Oryzias latipes: one gene and its partner. The protein of the gene in region 2 binds, or shares a complex with, the protein of the main gene of each other region. Links are inferred from orthologs where the notes say so. Each region holds a gene or a part of one and is shown on either strand. Other genes may lie near its edges.

What was found.
Region 1: the proteins of cct5 (region 2) and dcaf12 are in contact, whole or in part, in a cryo-EM structure (PDB 8AJM), measured with the Homo sapiens proteins. The link is inferred for Oryzias latipes from reciprocal best matches to the Homo sapiens genes CCT5 and DCAF12. Residues at the interface, in NP_036205.1 of Homo sapiens: Gly537, Glu538, Ser539, Glu540, Glu541; in NP_056212.1 of Homo sapiens: Lys91, Phe93, Lys108, His144, Trp186, Phe188, Arg203, Lys254, Arg256, Glu298, Val300, Arg344, Phe411, Tyr422, Leu440, Pro441, Ser442, Gly443.

What each region holds. Positions count from the first base shown.
Region 1 is NC_019863.2:17,272,553-17,281,013, forward strand, and holds the end of dcaf12 (DDB1- and CUL4-associated factor 12), read left to right. Parts: intron 1-43; coding exon 44-237; intron 238-2,674; coding exon 2,675-2,740; intron 2,741-2,858; coding exon 2,859-3,021; intron 3,022-3,194; coding exon 3,195-3,373; intron 3,374-3,499; coding exon 3,500-3,658; 3' UTR 3,659-5,216; downstream 5,217-8,461. Other genes in the region: ubap2 (ubiquitin-associated protein 2), read left to right, coding at 7,112-7,207, 7,866-7,943, 8,078-8,188. UniProt on the Homo sapiens protein: Substrate-recognition component of a DCX (DDB1-CUL4-X-box) E3 ubiquitin-protein ligase complex of the DesCEND (destruction via C-end degrons) pathway, which recognizes a C-degron located at the extreme C terminus of target proteins, leading to their ubiquitination and degradation.
Region 2 is NC_019878.2:15,260,198-15,269,710, reverse strand, and holds cct5 (T-complex protein 1 subunit epsilon), read left to right. Parts: upstream 1-3,265; 5' UTR 3,266-3,560; coding exon 3,561-3,665; intron 3,666-4,031; coding exon 4,032-4,092; intron 4,093-4,189; coding exon 4,190-4,354; intron 4,355-4,443; coding exon 4,444-4,642; intron 4,643-4,798; coding exon 4,799-4,991; intron 4,992-5,225; coding exon 5,226-5,375; intron 5,376-5,508; coding exon 5,509-5,628; intron 5,629-6,190; coding exon 6,191-6,376; intron 6,377-6,462; coding exon 6,463-6,600; intron 6,601-6,691; coding exon 6,692-6,872; intron 6,873-6,951; coding exon 6,952-7,079; 3' UTR 7,080-7,281; downstream 7,282-9,513. Other genes in the region: mtrr (methionine synthase reductase), read right to left, coding at 306-394, 481-637, 721-831, 915-1,368, 1,784-1,901, 2,052-2,202, 2,330-2,473; cmbl (carboxymethylenebutenolidase homolog), read right to left, coding at 7,558-7,737, 7,813-7,904, 8,610-8,752, 8,851-8,958, 9,031-9,245. UniProt on the Homo sapiens protein: Component of the chaperonin-containing T-complex (TRiC), a molecular chaperone complex that assists the folding of actin, tubulin and other proteins upon ATP hydrolysis.

The DNA of each region.
Region 1 (8,461 bases), on a different chromosome or scaffold from region 2:
CATCATCTAACTAGTCCTTTTTCCTTATGACTTGATCAAATAGGGTCCAGAGATGGCTCCATGGGTCTTTGGGAAGTGACAGAGGAAGTGATGAATCAGGCTGAGCGGAGTCAGAGTGAAGAGAACATACCTTCCTACGCCCACATCTCCCACCGGGCTCTCAAGGACATCCCCAAAGAGTGCACCAACCCATACAACTGTAAAGTCCGTGCTCTTGCCTTCAACGACAGCCATAAAGTAAGGTTCCTCCCATGCAGGAAGCAACCATTTAATGATCCAAAAAATGGTCGCACTATACTTACTGGCAATATTTTGGAGACCGAAGCTTTCAAAGTTGAAATTCAAACTATTGATTAGGTTAAAATAAGCACTTTCATTCCGTTGTTGGAGAATTAAACGTTAATTGATTATGGTGCAATTTCTTTTAATGTTTACATAATTCCTGTAGCAAGAGCTTCTATCATTCATGTTATTCTTGTTTCTATTAGCTTATATTTTGAGCATTTTCTTCCGAGATATGCAGTTGTGCAAGTTTAATCGAGAAGATTGAAGTACTACGCTTGGTACTGAAGTTTACCCTTTACTAAACTCACTACTATTGAGTTTATCTGTACTGTCAATAATTACAGAGTTCCATATTTCCAGCAAATTCAATACTTCGTACAGTATATAAATATTTCATATTTACTGATCAAGATAACATGTTTGTGCTGTTGCTATGGGTTACTTTACATAGTGGACTATGCGATTAATTGTTGTTCAGAGGAGTCCAGAATCTTCAACACAATAATAAACCACAGTGTGTTTTATTATCTCTGAACTCTCATCACATGGTCACTCTGTGTCCCACAGGACAATAGATTTCTGCTGCCAGAGCTGAAATAACACATAAGACAGACAAGAATAAGCTCATAGAACCTTTTCACTTGCATATCTGTCAGTGTGCAGTCTGAACATCTACACACTATGGATTTTTTTTAGGAAAATTTGGGATTTGTTTTTTTCCCGGCATCCTCCTCCCTCGGGCTTCCGCTGTTCGTAGTAAGGTCAGCCTGCTGGTCTTTCTCTTTGGACAGAGTTTTAGGGCCAGTTGACAAACAATTCTTTTTTTAAATTACAACTTTTAAGTCGTAAATTTTCCAGAAAAAAGTCCTAACTGTTAAATTTCAAGAATACATTTTTTTCCACGTACATCTACGAGAGAAAAAAGTCATAAATTAACGAGGAAAAAAACGCCATAGTTGTCTCTTTATCGAAGCCTAGCTTGAAGATGAAAGCTGTGGAGCATTTTGTGAAGCTTTATTTCCGGATAGGTTTCAAAAACAAAGAAGTTCCCACACAGTGGACCGTTTGGCGACTCAAAATCAGATTATTATTAGTGTAGCCGGCTTTCCGGGGTTCGGTGTCGGTGAAACGGAGTTTATATGTAGAATAAGGAGCTCAGAGACAAGTTAGGGTGAAGAGGACCGCAACTTTATTTTCCTTTTCATTCCCATACCAGAAGTCCATCTGTCACCTTGCGTCATGAACCTGTCACGCGCAGAACACTAAAGCGGAAGGTAAACATTGTTACATACACCCCTTCCAGATGAAACGTCCCGTTTCAACATAAAACAACAAAGATGAATAGCCGGTTATATCAACATAAGAGCATTGAAAAAGCCTGAAAGTGCACTTTCTCAGTCGGAAGCGTCACACATGCCTAGAGACTTTGTTTCGTGGAGGAAGAAGGGATTGAAGTGAACAGCTGCAGGGACACCGATGGCTTCATCAACGGGCTGCAGAGATCCTGCAAGCCGCCAATCGATAAATAAAACGGGAATAAAAACGTAAATCAAACAAATGAGCTTTCAAACACTTCTTTTGATGGCCCTAAAACTTTGTCGTACTCTAGCAACGTGCAGACGTTAAAATTTACAACGAATAAGGAGGAGCTAGTTTTCTTCAGTTCTATGGAACTGGTTTGTTATTCAGGTCATCTCCCACAGGAGATGTTAAAAAAAAAAAAAAAAAAAAAAAAAAAAACAACGTTTTTGTGAAATGTGCTCTATCATTTGTAACTTGTTTGAGACTGTAAAGGGAGGGAGAAAAATCTCTGCTGTTATTTGAGGTGTTATTTTTAGGCCATATCACCCAGCCCTCCTACACGCATGAAGGTTTATGCCACAGTGAGTCAAATTATGACGATTTCAGAGAAAAAACTCAACAGGTTCTCTCATTTATGATTCAAAAAAACAAACAAACTTATAATTAATTTCCTCTAGATTTTAACGTAACTCGCTTTCAACTCATAATTATCTCTGATCAGGTAAAGTGCAAACTATTTAAACATAGTAGAATTTCATCCTGAGGTATACTATGCTATATTTAGGTACATTTATTGTAAAGGCTGCTCTTCTGTCTAATTAGTGCAGAAACAACAAATCTCTGGAATTATAATGCATTACTACCAATAATGCTTTATCAGAGTCGAGCCATCCTGTTTCAATTCATTACTTCTTGGAAAGTATGACCATTTTTATTTGTATCAAAGAAAAGTATTTGTACCTTTATTTCATGTTTAGGAATTAGTGAAGTTTATGGATTTATGGTGAATTATAATTACATTGCTTTGGGTTTTTCTCTTTATGCTTCAGCTATTTGATTTATCAGCTCTTTTTTTCTCCTTTCAAAGGAACTGGGTGCTGTGTCTTTGGATGGCTATTTCCACCTCTGGAAAGCAGAGCATAACTTGTTCAAGGTAAACTAAATCAACCATAACTTTTTATTGATTAATTTCAATTGTTAATATTTCAGTGTCAGTTTTGCATGAAAGCGGTGCCTGTTCTTAATGTATGGTTTAACACTGATTTGTGCAGATTCTGTCCACCAAGCTGCCTCACTCCAAAGAGAATGTGTGTTTAGCGTACGGCCAGGACTGGTCGGTTTATGCGGTGGGTTCTCAGGCCCATGTTTCCTTCTTGGATCCACGCCAGCCAACACACAGCATCAAGTCTGTTAGTTCCAGAGAGAGAGGCAGTGGTAAGTCATCTGAAAATCCAGAGCAGATTAGAAACACAAGCATGTGACAGTTGTTGATCTGTTTTGGTAAATATTAAATAAAGATGTTTGGGTATGAAACAGAATGAGATGTTTCCCTCTGTATAAGTGGAGGGATTTGCCATATTAACATGTGTGCGTCTTCTCCCTTCCAGGGATCCGTTCAGTGAGTTTCTATGAGCACATTGTGACAGTGGGGACCGGCCAGGGTTCCCTTCTCTTCTATGATATTCGGGCTCAAAGATTCCTGGAGAACCCTTTTAGTCCTACCAATGTGTGTCGGAAATGTCCCGCTGATGGGATCCTCAAGCTTTCAACAGGAAAAGGCTGGCTGGTATGAAGAATTTTTGTTTAAAAGCTAAAAAAAAAAAAGGATATTCTCAATGAAATATTACCCTGATGAATGATGATAAATGATGACAGAAATAGTCAGGGTTTTTCTTGTTTCTTTTTTGTGCAGAACCACGATGAAACATGGAGGAGTTACTTCTCAGATATTCATTCTTTTCCCAACGCCGTGTACACCCACTGCTATGACGACTCCGGCACAAAGCTCTTTGTAGCCGGCGGCCCGCTCTGTTCAGGCCTTCACGGAAACTACGCAGGCCTGTGGAGTTAGCTTCTCCCATCGATCCGTCACAAAGTTCTCCTTCAGCTCTACCTATCCTATCCCTCGGCCTCCCTCAACTTCATCTACATCACTGTCCAGAAAACCTCCTCCTCCTGCTTTAGGAGGGCGTTCAGCCCACACGTGGACTCAGGAGCATGATCTTTCCTCCTTTCAATATGATTGTCGTCTGTGTTTGTGTCTCTATTTACATCATACTTTTCTACATCGCTGTCCTAACGCACTTTCCCGCTTTTTAAGTAATTTATACAAATGTACAGTTACCTAATAAATTAAAGAGCTGCTAAGTGTGCCACTGAGAAACTCAGATGGGGTTTGAAAAACATTAAGAATAAAAGTAAACTTTTTTACCGTCATGTATACATCCAATCTGCAGGGATTAGGCTGTGTTCTTTGGTATTTACATTTGTACACAGGAAACAAATGCTTCTCCTGTGATTAAACAAGTGATGTTTTTTTTTCTTTTTGTATCCATTCTTTCACTTTTACTCACTTAAATCAACTACATTAAAAGAAAAAAGAGGGAGAAAGGCCAGAGGGATGGAAGAGACTTTTCGTTTTGTAGGACTTGGACATTTGACAGAATTTTTACAGGTTGGACTGCAAGCAAAAAAAAGAAAGGAAAACACAAGGAACTCTTCTGTTGGAATCAAAACGAGAAATTGTGCTTCTCCCCTTCATCTGCATGAAGAGGAGGATCCTTCTGATTGGTAGATGCAATTTGGTTCTTGCTCTATGACTTTATTTTTATTTTTTTGACTGGGCTTTGACAGGCACACCCCTCATAATAACCCCTTTACTCTGTATTTATTCTCCCCCTCTTTTCTGTCAATTTCATTTGTATAATTTGCATCATTTTTTGAAAGGAGTGTTTCCTGTTTGCCCTTTGCTTTGTGTTTGGTGTGATCTCTTTGGTTTTCCATTATCTAAAACTGCTGTTCCTTGAGAACTCTGCCTAGGTTTTAAAAAAAAACAGCTTTATTAATGACTACCGGTAAAAGAAAAACATTTGATCAATGGATTTAGACCCACATGAACTTGTGAGAGGAATTGTAGTGGCTCAGCTTGGTATAAATACAAGGAGAACATGGATTTATAAGCTACAGATGCATTTGCTTTTACTCCACTGAACCCAGGAGTGAGTTCTGAATTTTGATTTTCCATTGTTTGGTAGAGACAGGGTAGGCAAGATGTTGCTTTTTGCCTTCCTCAAGTCTTTCCGTGAAAGACTATCACATGTAATCATCGTTTTCCTTTTTCTACATGCAACTTTTGTCTTCTTGTAGTGATAATGATCGGGACGGGAAATCCACAGCAAATTAAATCGATTCACTCTTAAAAAACATATTTTATATACAGGTGTGTGTGTACAATGTGTCTGTAAAATGCTTAAGGACAAGTGCATATATTTTATGTATATGTCTGAGGAAAGGGTGTTCATTAATGTCTACTTGGTGATACATTTTTTATACACGCCTTGTGAGTGTTTTTACAAATGACTGAAAGTGCAAATATTCTAAAATATTAACAGCTGGGGGGGGGGGGGGGGGGTGCGCCGTTCTTAGAAATAAGCAAATAATACAAATAAAACATATATCATTGTAACGTGATGTGTGATTCGATTTAAATTGTGATTTTTATTTTTTAGGGGCCTTTGTGTTTAGAGATCCGATGCGTTGCATAGTTTGCAGTAATTCTTCATCGCAGTTGCTGACAGTTGTGATCTTTGAGTAAGCGCGGCAGATGAGAGCGGAGCATCCACAGAGGCAGCGCGAGTCACGTGACCACCTTGTCTGCTGCTGGCCGAGAGGCGTGTTAGCAGGTACCAAAAACACACATTTTTCCGCTAATCTTAACTTTAGTCGAAGTGATTTTTTTAATCGTGTAAACATTGTGGTTAACTGTATTTGAGTGGAATAGTTACTCGTCGTCTGGGTTCGTTCGCTTCACGAGGGGTTTTCGAAAACCTTTACCGTTTTTCCTGTTGTCTTGATTCCCGGCGAGCAATGTCGGGATAGGATTTCGCACCGCGAGGCCTTTTTTTCTTGTTAACAATACATTCACTCCTGGTGGTTTCCTTCAGCTCTCGGTATTAACTCAATTTCTCCGCTTTTAAAAATCATGGCGCTCGAATAATATGAGGCGCTGTATGACGGTAGTTTGTTGGCCGTTGGCAATGGCTATCAACTTGGACCAGATTTAGATAGCATCGTTAGCATCTCTCCTGCTGCATCGTTTGTTCCAAGATCAACGCTTCGGTGTCCGCTGTAGCACGGAACGGCTAACTTCATGCTAGCGAGAACAAAACGGAGCGCTCTGCGAACGACGAAAAGTCAGTCGATGTTTAATTGACAGTATGTTGGAGACACTTTAAACGTTTAGTGACTTTGTTTTGGGAGCTGGAAGTCACAGAGTTATCTTATATCGACTCTGGAAACGAGAGACATAACAACAAGCTAATGTTAGCATTCACTCAAAACAACGCTTTGGGGATTTTTTTTTCAACAGGATAGTGTATTATTCTTATTTAATCTTTCACATGTAGTCTTATCGTCGCAGTGACGCTAAATTTAATGTTTAATATTTTTTTCTTTGATTTGACAAAAACTATAGCCGCTGAATGGTTGTTTTGTTATTGTTTGAGTCCTCCGACTGTCATCATATTTATTTGTGTATATTTTTATAACCCTACATTTGTTCTGTGAAACTGTGTTGGATTGCAGAAACGTAGATTTGACCCTTTTCATTTATAAAATGATGTTGCTGAAATTCTGTTTATTAAAGGATTTTTTTGTTGCCGTAGCTTTGTTCAGCTCGGCAGCCAATAGCAGCTTCGTATTTGTCAACGTCACCTTAGAGCTGGATTGCCATTGTTCTCTGACACGTCATAAATGGGTCAATAAATGGAATCGAGACCTATTATGACAATCCACACCATAGTGGAAGATTATATGGCATCGTCTGGCGCACTTTCTTTGCTATATAGTTTGACAATAATAAAAACCAATGTCTTGCATTTATTTGAAAATTTCTTGGTTATATTTGTATATATGTACATACACGAGTATGTAAAAAAAAAAATAGATTTAGCATATTTTAGAGTTTAAATTGTGTTTAATTAAGATTTACAACCAGTAAAAAAGGGTGTGATGTTAGGGTCTGTAGTCTTTTTTCTTCTGCTTCTCTAACAGACTGGTTTATACTGGTAGAACAGTGACTGCTCCTCCTTTTTGGCACAGATTTTTGCAAAGCTGATAGGCTAAGCAAATCAATCAGATCTAACAAGGTCAACATTTGTTTGATGCGAACGTTTCGGGCTATTGTAATGTAAAAATAAATATATTTTGAGTTATTTTACAGTCCGATGATAAAATTTGTGCCTTGTCTTTTTTGTTTTTGCAGGTTTTTCTATTTTGTACATACAGAGTTTTGTATATACTGTATATGATGAGCTCGCTGGGCAGCGAAAAGTCCCGGGGCCCTCGGGATAAAGCGCTGCCAGCTGCTACTCATGTATCACAACCACAGAAGCAAATACAGGTAAGTCAGTTAAACTAAAAAAATAAACTTAAAAAAAGCTTGATTTTTAATGGACATATGTCATCATAAAAGCAAAATGGCTGTAGGGTTGTACACCAACAAAGCACACATTTAAAGCTCTAATTGTGTGTGCGTGTGTTTGTATATGTAACATAGCATGTGACACATTTTTAATGCAAAAGCATAAACTTTCTTGGATGTCATAAATGTAAAAAAGCGGAAACAAAATGTGTTTCTTTAAAGTATCTTCCAATACTTGTGCATTTTATTACTTGGTGGTAAAAGTATGATCACATTTTCTCCTTCACAAGGAAAGCGAGAAGTTCTCCATGGATTTATGATTTGGATTCCATAAAATCTTTTCAATTAGGCGCTTTAAATCATTCAATCAACATGCAATTCTGTATGAAATGTTAAAGAATTTGTCTCTTTCAGTTTCTTTTTCAACCGTTTCTCCTTTTTTTGTTTGTTCTTTTTTTAATGTGTCATCAAAACATCAATAATTTGGTCCACACAGAGAATGCTGGGAAAAAAAGTAAAAAACAAAAAAAACCTAATTGTAATTGGAGCAAATTGTTTTGGTATTAAAGAGCAAAAAAAAAAACAATTCCAAACATAATCTACAAACTGTGTGTGTGTGTGTGTGTGTGTGTTGAAGGCTACTGCTGAGCAGATCCGCCTTGCTCAGATGATCTTTGACAAGAATGATGCTGACTTTGAGGACAAAGTTAATCAGGTGAAGAAACCCGTCAATCTTTGGCAGACTTTACAAATTGGTGACATGTTTTTCCGTTCCACCCACCCACCAGCATTAGGATTTGGTTTCCTGTGTTCCTGGTTAATGTTAAGACGTGTCTATTACTGTTTTAGCTGATGGAAGTGACCGGGAAGAACCAGGATGAATGCATGGTAGCTCTTCATGACTGCAATGAGGATGTCAGTCGAGCCATCAATTTCCTCCTGGAAAGCACCTCAGACATGGTAATCAGAACCTTATTATTAATATTATTTTTCCTTTTTTAATCACATTTAATTCGTTTCAGTATTTGCTTGATAATGAAAGAATGCTGCAATTTTTATGTTAACCATTTCTAAAATATAAAGGTAATTTTTTAAAACTTATTTGTACCTCATAAATAAATGCACATAGTGTTTAAAGGGCCTGTATCATGCTTTTCTTAAGCCTTTCAGAGTAAACTACCGGGATATCCATATATGTGATAATATTGGTACACTAAAGTGCGATTCTTTTTT
Region 2 (9,513 bases):
CAGATTGACTCTGTTCAAGAGGAATCAGAGCGTTGGGGCAAAAAGGGGGGCAGATTCACCCATAAAAACGATAGCCAATCACACACAAGGCTTTGCTGTGATTGGTGCATCTGCTCTGGTAAAGGTTTAGCAATGAGACCAAACAGCAGAAATCGAACCATTCTTTTATACGAATTTTAAAATAAGTCTGCTTTTTTTGCTTTTTACTTTATCACAAAGCAAATAAAATCAGCACAGGTCAAATTCAATGTTTTTGCAAATACAGTAATAAAATGCCCAAATGTGAGGTTTGGATCTCACGGTACCTTCTTAGGAACACTTCTGATCTCCAGACACCAGGTGAACAGGAAGAGGAGGGAAACATTTTGGGGGATGTGTGGCGGCACATGAGCACCTTCGGGGGAGAAAAAGACATTTGTTTTCCAAAAACGTTTTTTTCTTTAAAAGACGAGTTTAAAATAAAAAAGAAGACACCGTTGCCTTTTTTCTTTGTGTCTTTTCTCAAAGCCACATGGACGCGATGGTCCCTTCGATCTTTAAGCCCCAGTCTGCAAAGCATGTAGTCCACCTCTTCCGCCCTATTTGGGCAGAGCACATCCAGAGAATCCCCGGGCTGGTAGGTCAATGCTGGGCAAGTCTGGAGTTCAAAATGGGGGTCAAATTATGAGAATATGGTCTAAATGTTCAGAACTCCTATTTAAACCATTTTCTGAAACCTACAGAAATGTCTAGCTCTAGTAGGAGAGCTGTCTTAACAGAGTCTCCTCTGCTTAGCAGAACTGCCTTAGATATGGGAACCTCATGGAAAGTCTCTTTTAGCGGTCCAACATTCTGAAATAAAAGATTCAACATGAGAAGAATTAGGAATGAAGGAAAGCATGAACTTTTTTTCTTTAATTTGCAGCATTCATTACCTGTTCTGGGGCATCCACCTCCACCAACGTAACATCCAAAAAGGGAGGGGGCAGAGCGGGAACATTAAGAGAAGACTGGGAAAGCGGCGGCACAGAGTTTGTCAGGGGAGATGACGAGGAAATGTGGGGAATCCCCTCATCCTTTGTCTGCATAGCATCATTCTGGGATACAAACTCAGTCCTTCCTGAAAAAGTGCTTGGGTTTTGACCAGAAGAGGTAGATGGAGCCGAAGGCACATTATGAAAGTCCGTTTGAACGGCTTCCTGGCTCCGCTGATCAGTGATGCTTAACAGGTTTAGCTGCACATCCGGTTGGGTTAAACCCAGAAATTCCTTTGCTGAATCTTTCACGTTCGCTTCAGACTCATCATTCCTCACGGAAGCCATTTTAGATGAAGCCTCTTTGACGGCTTTCCAAAGTCCTTCAAGCCACGGGTCCACAACCAGTTCCAACCTACAGATATACAAAACCCACATTTTACAAAAGCAGTAGTAGTAAAAAAAAAACATTGGAAAAAGCTAATTACTGGAATTTTAAGGCCATAAAGTTTCACTTAGGCTGGAAAAAAAGAAAAATGTCAGATTTCATACTGACCAAACCACCTGAAACCACTAAAGACACAACCAAAGCAGCTCTGCTTTTCCTCTAACCATCATTTCATGATACATCTCCTCGCTACACCACATTTTCCCAGCCCCGTTTTCAGCCCAACCGAGGTTTGCTTGATTGGTCTCCACTACAACTCACAAGAGCTTTTACACTTGTCTAGAAAAGGGGATTCTCTGGAGGAGACTAAACAGCCTATTGTAAAAGCAATGTAAGTATTTTGCAAGCATTCCGACATGCATGTTTTCCTGGCAGAACCTACCCCACACCGTCATCTGCGAATCCAGCTGGATAGAACTGCCTGGCTCCGAGTGCCTGCAGTCTACGCTCAATTGTCTTCCCACAGTTGCAGAAATTAGCATAATTTGTGTCTCCTAAAGCTGATACGGAAAATAAAACCAGATTAGGGTTAAGCAGCAACCTTTCAAAAGTTAAATTATAAGCAAAGCATTCGAAAGTTTAAACATGAATTGCAACGTCTAGGATGATTGTTTTAAATAGCAGAAATCGATCATGTAATTAGAATTTACCCAAAAGTGTATAAGAAAGGTGTTTATAGTGGTCGGGAGATTGGTTCTTGTTGATTCTCTTGACAAATTGGAGCGCGTTGTCGGGCGGTTCCCCATCGCCAGTGGTAGAGACGACAAAGACTACAGGGGCGATCTCTTTCTCCAAATTGTACTGTAAAAGATTAGATCCATGAGGAAACAAACACACAATCAGCACAAAAAGAGGGATTATTATTACTGAAGAAGTAGAATTTTTCAAGGTGGAAGCTGTGCGATCTTGAGATATGTGTTGATGCCACCTTCTCGTCTTGGTTTAAACAGCTCAGTTCAGCAACCAACCCGTGGTCCTCTGCCTCTTCAGCAATCCCCTCTGCAATGGACTGGGCCTGGCCCTTTTGAGAGCCGTACAGGACCACAAACCGAGATTTGGTCTCACAAGGCATGCTACAAAACAAAGAGAAATAATAATGCTTTTTAGAGTTTACAAAGACATTTACGTATTTTGTGGTTAATGTCATTAGTAACATAAGTACAGTAACGGGAGTATTACGTCATGTGAACTAACCAGAATCCACAGATACCAAAATAAATATATTATTTCTATTTCTCACAACAAGAAAGTAAATAACAATAAGTAAAACAATAATACTGTCACTTAAGTCAAAGGCAACAGTTACTGCTAGATGGACAATTCAATTTGGATTATCCTCTGAACTGGAAGTGATGGTCTCGCTTACCAATATGCGTGGAAGAAGCAGGCAGGACAATAAAAGTGCCTTAACAGTGTAATGAAACACTTTCCTCCATCATGACACCACCATAACAGTGCCCGGATGTTGCGTAACGTATTACGTAGCCAGAAGAAATCATAACGCCCCACGTGAAACGTTTAAACTTTTACTGTCTCACAGCACTAAATCAAAACTAAACCTTGAGGTAGTAACTTTAAATCGCGCTGCAATGGAGAAGTAGGAATAATATCAACCAAGAAGAATCCCGGCTCGATCACGAAATTACATTTGGGAACCTTATTAACTTCATCTTGTGTATCGAACATGTAAAAATACCTTGTGGGAAAAAAAACATTTCTGCATCAGTCGTGTAAACTTTTCAGACATATTTACCTTCGCGTAGCAGCTCATTTAATTCTAGATCCACTCCTATGCCAGCCACTCCACTCATTGAGATCTCGCGAGACTCTAAACAAAAAAAAAACACAAACGTAATCGGCCCGAACCAAGTTGGAAATTATATTTTTAGCTTAAGCACTAAAACTATTCCTTATTGCAAGTTTATATTTGCATAATTTATAAATAAATTACATTGAATTTTAATTTTTTATCTTGACATGATGAGGTATTCAAACATTTAGAAAAGGTTTTTTGAAAGTATTTGGTTCCGCCCTCCCCGTCCGTGGAGCCTTCCAGAAGTACCGGCAGACTCGTGCTCAGCCACGCTCCAGCTAAAACATCGGATAAACTAATCATACAGTAGTTAAACTCTCGTGGAGTATTTTCTACCCAAGTCAAGATGTCCACATTAGGGACACTGGCGTTTGATGAGTATGGGAGGCCTTTCATCATCATTAAAGACCAGGACAAGAAGACTCGGTTAACGGGCATTGACGCATTGAAGGTACAATGGGCTAGCTAGTGAAGCATAAACCTGGTGGTGTGATGACCTGCAAATGTAACATGTGTTGCTTGTAATAATAATATTTAAGGCCTACATGTAAATACGTATTTGACCCTTTTATTTGGAGTCATTTTGTCTTCTGTTGTAAATTTGTAGCGTGATAGCATCTATGTAGTTAACGCGGATTAGCCAAAAATGCTAATGCGGGCCCATGTGGTTTTAGCTAGCGGGGTGTAGCTGCTCCCAAAAATGGTAATCAGTGACGCAGATCATTAACATATTTGAAGTACACACTGCAACGTCTTAAGATAAAATATAGGTAAAAGTTGTATCATGATTCCACGTTAATATTTTTATGTTTTGCAGTCTCACATCATGGCAGCCAAGGCGGTCGCTGGAACGCTCAGGACATCTCTGGGTCCTAATGGTAATTCTGAAATCATAGTGTGTGTCAAATCTAAAAGCAGCACAGACAAATGCAGATTGTAATGAACTCTTTCTTCATTTTTCATTTTTGCATGCAGGTCTTGACAAAATGATGGTTGACAGGGATGGGGAAGTAACTGTCACCAACGATGGAGCCACTATCCTCAGTATGATGGATGTTGACCACCAGATTGCTAAACTTATGGTAGAGCTGTCCAAGTCTCAAGATGATGAGATCGGCGATGGGACTACTGGAGTAGTAGGTATGTGGCTTGTCAAAGATTGTAGGATTGCATTGGTTATACTTTTTTATGAGATAACTGTTGCTTTATTTATTTGTAATCTTTCTTAGTGCTGGCTGGAGCATTGCTGGAGGAGGCTGAGCTGCTGCTGGATCGTGGGATCCACCCCATCAGGATCTCAGATGGTTATGACCAGGCTGCACGGATCGCCATAGAGAAGCTGGACAAAATTGCAGAAACCTTCCCCTGTGATCCAAACAACTTGGAACCACTCATTCAAACTGCCATGACAACACTGGGATCCAAAGTGTAAGGGAGTTTTTTTTTACAGAAAATGTGTTGCTTCTTCACAGCATGTTTTGTTAAACCTTAATTAAGACTTTATTTCTGTAATTATGGTTATAGTTTTCAAACACAAAAACTAAGCACAATTTCTGATCTGCTATAAACTGTTGTGTGTTCTAGTATCAACCGGTGTCACAGACAGATGGCAGAGATCGCTGTAAACGCCATCCTCACTGTGGCTGACATGCAGAGGAAGGATGTCGACTTCGAACTCATTAAGGTGGAGGGCAAAGTGGGAGGGAAGCTGGAGGACACACAGCTCATCAAGGGAGTTATTGTTGACAAGGAGTTCAGCCACCCCCAGATGCCCAAGGTATGAACGGAGTCTTAAATGGATTCTCAGGAAACTGCCTAATGCCTTTTACCTCTCTGTAAGTAGACAGATAAAAGGTCAGTTTGAAATTGATTTCACATCCTGGTAACTAAAAATAAAAAATAAAAAAAAATACATATCTCTTTAATGAAACACTTTATTCTAGGGACAATTATTGTTGCCACAGTTAAGAACGCTTTTTTTCTCTGAAATGTTTTCCTTTTTGTAACTTAGGAACTGAAAGATGTCAAAATTGCCATCCTAACCTGCCCCTTTGAGCCACCTAAACCCAAGACCAAGCATAAGCTGGATGTGACCTCTGTGGAGGACTACAAAGCCCTGCAGAAATATGAAAAAGAGAAGTTTGAGGAGATGATCCAGCAGGTCAGTAATCAAAGAATCTGTTGGCTACTTGATTATCAGCAAAGTATAAACAATATTAAATATAGAAGCAACAAAAATAGTGATGTGCGGGGTTCTTGTTAAAATGCAAAACATACAATTGTTTTGCGTTTAGGTCAAAAGCAACGGTGCCAACTTGGCCATCTGTCAGTGGGGCTTTGACGACGAGGCGAACCACCTTCTGCTGCAGAATGAGCTGCCTGCTGTGCGCTGGGTTGGAGGACCTGAGATCGAGGTGGGATGCTTTACATGCTGTGGAACCTTTACAGTTCTACTTTTGTTAGCCACCTTCAAACTTTAATCTTAATTCACATTATTTTGTTGTCATTCCTGCAGAAAACTTACTTTTACCAATAAAGTTGTGACACATTGCAGAATAAATGGCAGTTATAAACAGCTAGAGCTATAAAGCGGTCAAAGTTGAGAATGTTAATTTTCTATGATGTGAAAAATCTTCCAAAAATGTCAGTCAAGTGGGGATAAACCAATTGGAAGTTTTTTGCTTGTAAAATATTTAGAATGGAAGGTTAAGCCGTTTGTGCAGACACAAAACCATAGTAAAAATAAATTTAATCATATCAGATTGTTACCTGATGTCAAAACAAACATGTCTACTTCATTCCCATTGTAAGCTACTTCCACATTTCTATCATAGACTGCTTTTTAGTAGATGAAAGTAGTTGATCTTTTGTATTGGGGGGCGGAAACTGTTGTTAAAAAAATGTCATATTTGGTGTTGATGTTTCAACACAAAGTTTGTAAAGAAAGTTCACCTTCTCTGAAACCTGCTCTGGCAGTTGATCGCCATCGCCACAGGAGGTCGCATTGTGCCGCGGTTCAGTGAGCTGACGCCCGAGAAGCTGGGCACAGCTGGTTTAGTGAAGGAGCTCTCCTTCGGCACCACCAAGGATCACATGTTGGTTATTCAGGAGTGCAAAAACACCAGGGCTGTAACCATTTTCATCCGTGGGGGCAACAAGATGGTTAGTCTGTCTTATCACTCTCACACTTTTTTTTGTGTGTGTGTGTGTGCTGGGGATTATTGCTAATTCTCTGTCTTTCCTACCAGATCATTGAGGAGGCCAAGCGCGCGCTCCACGATGCTTTGTGTGTAATTCGCAATTTGATCCGAGACAACCGTGTTGTTTATGGGGGTGGAGCCTCAGAGATCGCATGTGCCCTGGCGGTAAATCGGGCTGCAGATAAGGTGAGACTCTAAAGTTGATGTTTCAGACCTGGCAACCCATTTCTGCTTCAAATGTCGCAGAGTTATATCTTTTGTAAATGTTCTGTTTCAGTGCCCATCATTGGAGCAGTATGCCATGCGGTCGTTTGCCGATGCTTTAGAAGTCATCCCAATGGCTTTGGCTGAAAACAGCGGACTGAACCCCATCCAGACCATGGCAGAGGTCCGAGCCAGACAAGTCAAAGACAACAACCCTTTCCTTGGCATTGACTGTTTACACAAAAACACCAACGGTAAGAGCAGGTTGTGGTCAAAAAGCTACCAAAATACCTGGAACTAGTATTGAGAATCTGTTTCTGTTCTTTTCTAAAGACATGAAGCAGCAACACGTGATCGAGACTCTGATCGCCAAAAAGCAGCAGATCTCCCTGGCTACCCAGGTGGTCAGGATGATCCTGAAGATCGATGACATCCGGAGCCCTGGAGAGACCGAGGAATGAAGTCGACACTTGATGTTCTGAAACGCTCGAGGTCTTTGGCACTTCCTCAAGCTTCATGTTCAAACCGCACCGCACATTCGTATTTATCATTTGGTACTTGTTCCAGCTGTTGTAGTATCAAAGTCAACAATAAAATGTTGATCTAATCGAATTTCAGGAGTCTTCAACTGTGCTTTAAATAAAATAAACTCTCTTGTCCTTCTGTCTGCATCAGATCATTTCAAACATTATCCCAAAGAATTTTTTATTTTATTGACATTAAGATGTTCGTTCTTTAGAAAATAAAACTTTGAAAATGATAACATGGAGAGCGTTTGCATGTTAGCCATATTTCAACCACTTCAGTCATCTTGTCAACTATTTAATGCATATGTGTTTAGGACAGTTAAGAAAAAAAACATTCAATTAGGAGCAATTTTTACAGAATCTCGTAAGTCGATGCTTATTTCTTTCATTGGTTTCTATATTGCGAATGTCTTCAGCAGTATTTGTTGAGCCAGTTCAGCATGTCTTTTCTTGCCTCCTGGATGTACGGTTTGTCTGCCGGGTTGATGTCTTCTCTCTTCCGGTGGACGAAGCCGTGAGTTTGACCAGGAAATATTTTCACCTGGTGCTCTACGGTACATTTTTCCTTCAGCTTCGCCTCTAGGGCATTCACCTTCACAGAGCAAGTAGAATAATTATAAAATGAAATGGAGAAGTTAGGCCTAAGTGTCACTCAAAGCACACACACCTGGTCAAGAGGGATAACCTGATCCACCTCTGCAAAAATGAACAGAGTGGGGCTCTTGAGGGCGTACCTGTCCTCTCTTTCTCGAACTATTCCTACGCAGAAAAAACAAAACATTCAAATTAGTGCCGTCATTCGAATAATTAATTTATGACCTGAAATTAATCTATTTTTTTAATTTGACCTAATAATTGCTGTGAAAAGACTCATTTTGAGATCTTTTTATTTAATTTTGTGACATCGTGGTGCAGTAGAACAATTTAAAAAGCGGTTTTATGACGTTTTTTATAACAGACTTCTTCCAACCTTCCCTTTTATACCACCAGGGGGTATTTGTCAATCTAAAACAAAAAGAAAGAAAAAACAATACAGCAGGTCCAGAGTGCTCTAATTGAACAAATCAAAAAAGCAGTGTGAGGCGCTGAAGCCTTTACCATGACAACATGTCGCACTGCGTATCAAATAGTCTGCTTTTAGGGAAAAAATAAACCTAAAACGATACGATTAAATGATTAATAATTGATTACATATTTATTTCTTTTGAAAGTGACCATAAAAAGCAGTAGAATCCCCTTCGAGGTGTCCATTATCAGAAATTCAGAAAAAAATAATGAAAACTGACACCTCGTCGGGATTTATCCCTTACTTAATAGATATGCGTTATAGATAAAAACTGAGATTAATTTAATAAAAAAACACGCTTATGTCTCTTCAATAATTTATCAGGATTAATGCGATTATTTGAATTCCAATGTCATTTAAAGGCTTCACTCAGAAATCTGTGTGTCTGGATGGCGTACCGTAAACAGAAACTCCGGCTTTCACCTCTGGATACTGCAAAGCTATGTAATGTGTGGCGACCCCACCCCAGCAAAAGCCTACTGTCCCGATGCGTTTGGCCCCACACTGCTCCTTCAAGTAATTCAGAACAGCGTCCACCTCCCTGAGGAGAAGATAAGCTTGTTCCAATGTGGGTCTGGTTCAGAGATGAACCCAGAATTACAAGACAAACTTTTGAGCAGGTGACCCGAAGTGACACACTTGTTTATGGTGGTTGGTTTTTTGTCCTGAAGCCACTCCTGAAACTTGGACCAGTCACCAGCTGGGCTCCACGGTTCCTTTCCAACAAAGAAGTCCGGGCACACAGCTCTGCTCAGAGAACAACAGAGATTGAACTCCATAAACATATCTGATCTCCCCCAAATATCAGACTGTACGCACATGTATCCGTCGGCAGCGAGCATCTCCGCCATGTATCTAGTGTTTGGAAGCTGCCAACCGAAGATGTCATGAATGACGATGACAGCCTTGTCCTTGGGAGAGGTGGGCTTCACTACATATGCTTTGATGTGCTCCATCTGGACCTCCTGGCCGAGTCCTCCATACTCAATCTTATCGCCTAAATCGCAGGGGCACGGATTGCTTTCGTTTGCCATCTAAAAAAAACACAAGAACAGACGAATCATGTAGAAAATGAGGCATTTTCAGACAACTCTCAAGGAAAACTGATCTTCTTGCATATAGTTGCTGTATGATTATAGGCAGTAACCCTTGTGCTTTCCTAGGCAATTTACAGTTTTTCTCAGTCGCTTTAGTACAATTCTCAGATCAGAATTGAAGTTTGCAAATACGTGTCTGCATTTCTCAAAACAATTTGTACAAACAGCAAAACACTATGGATTTCTTGCAAAAGCCTGTAACTTG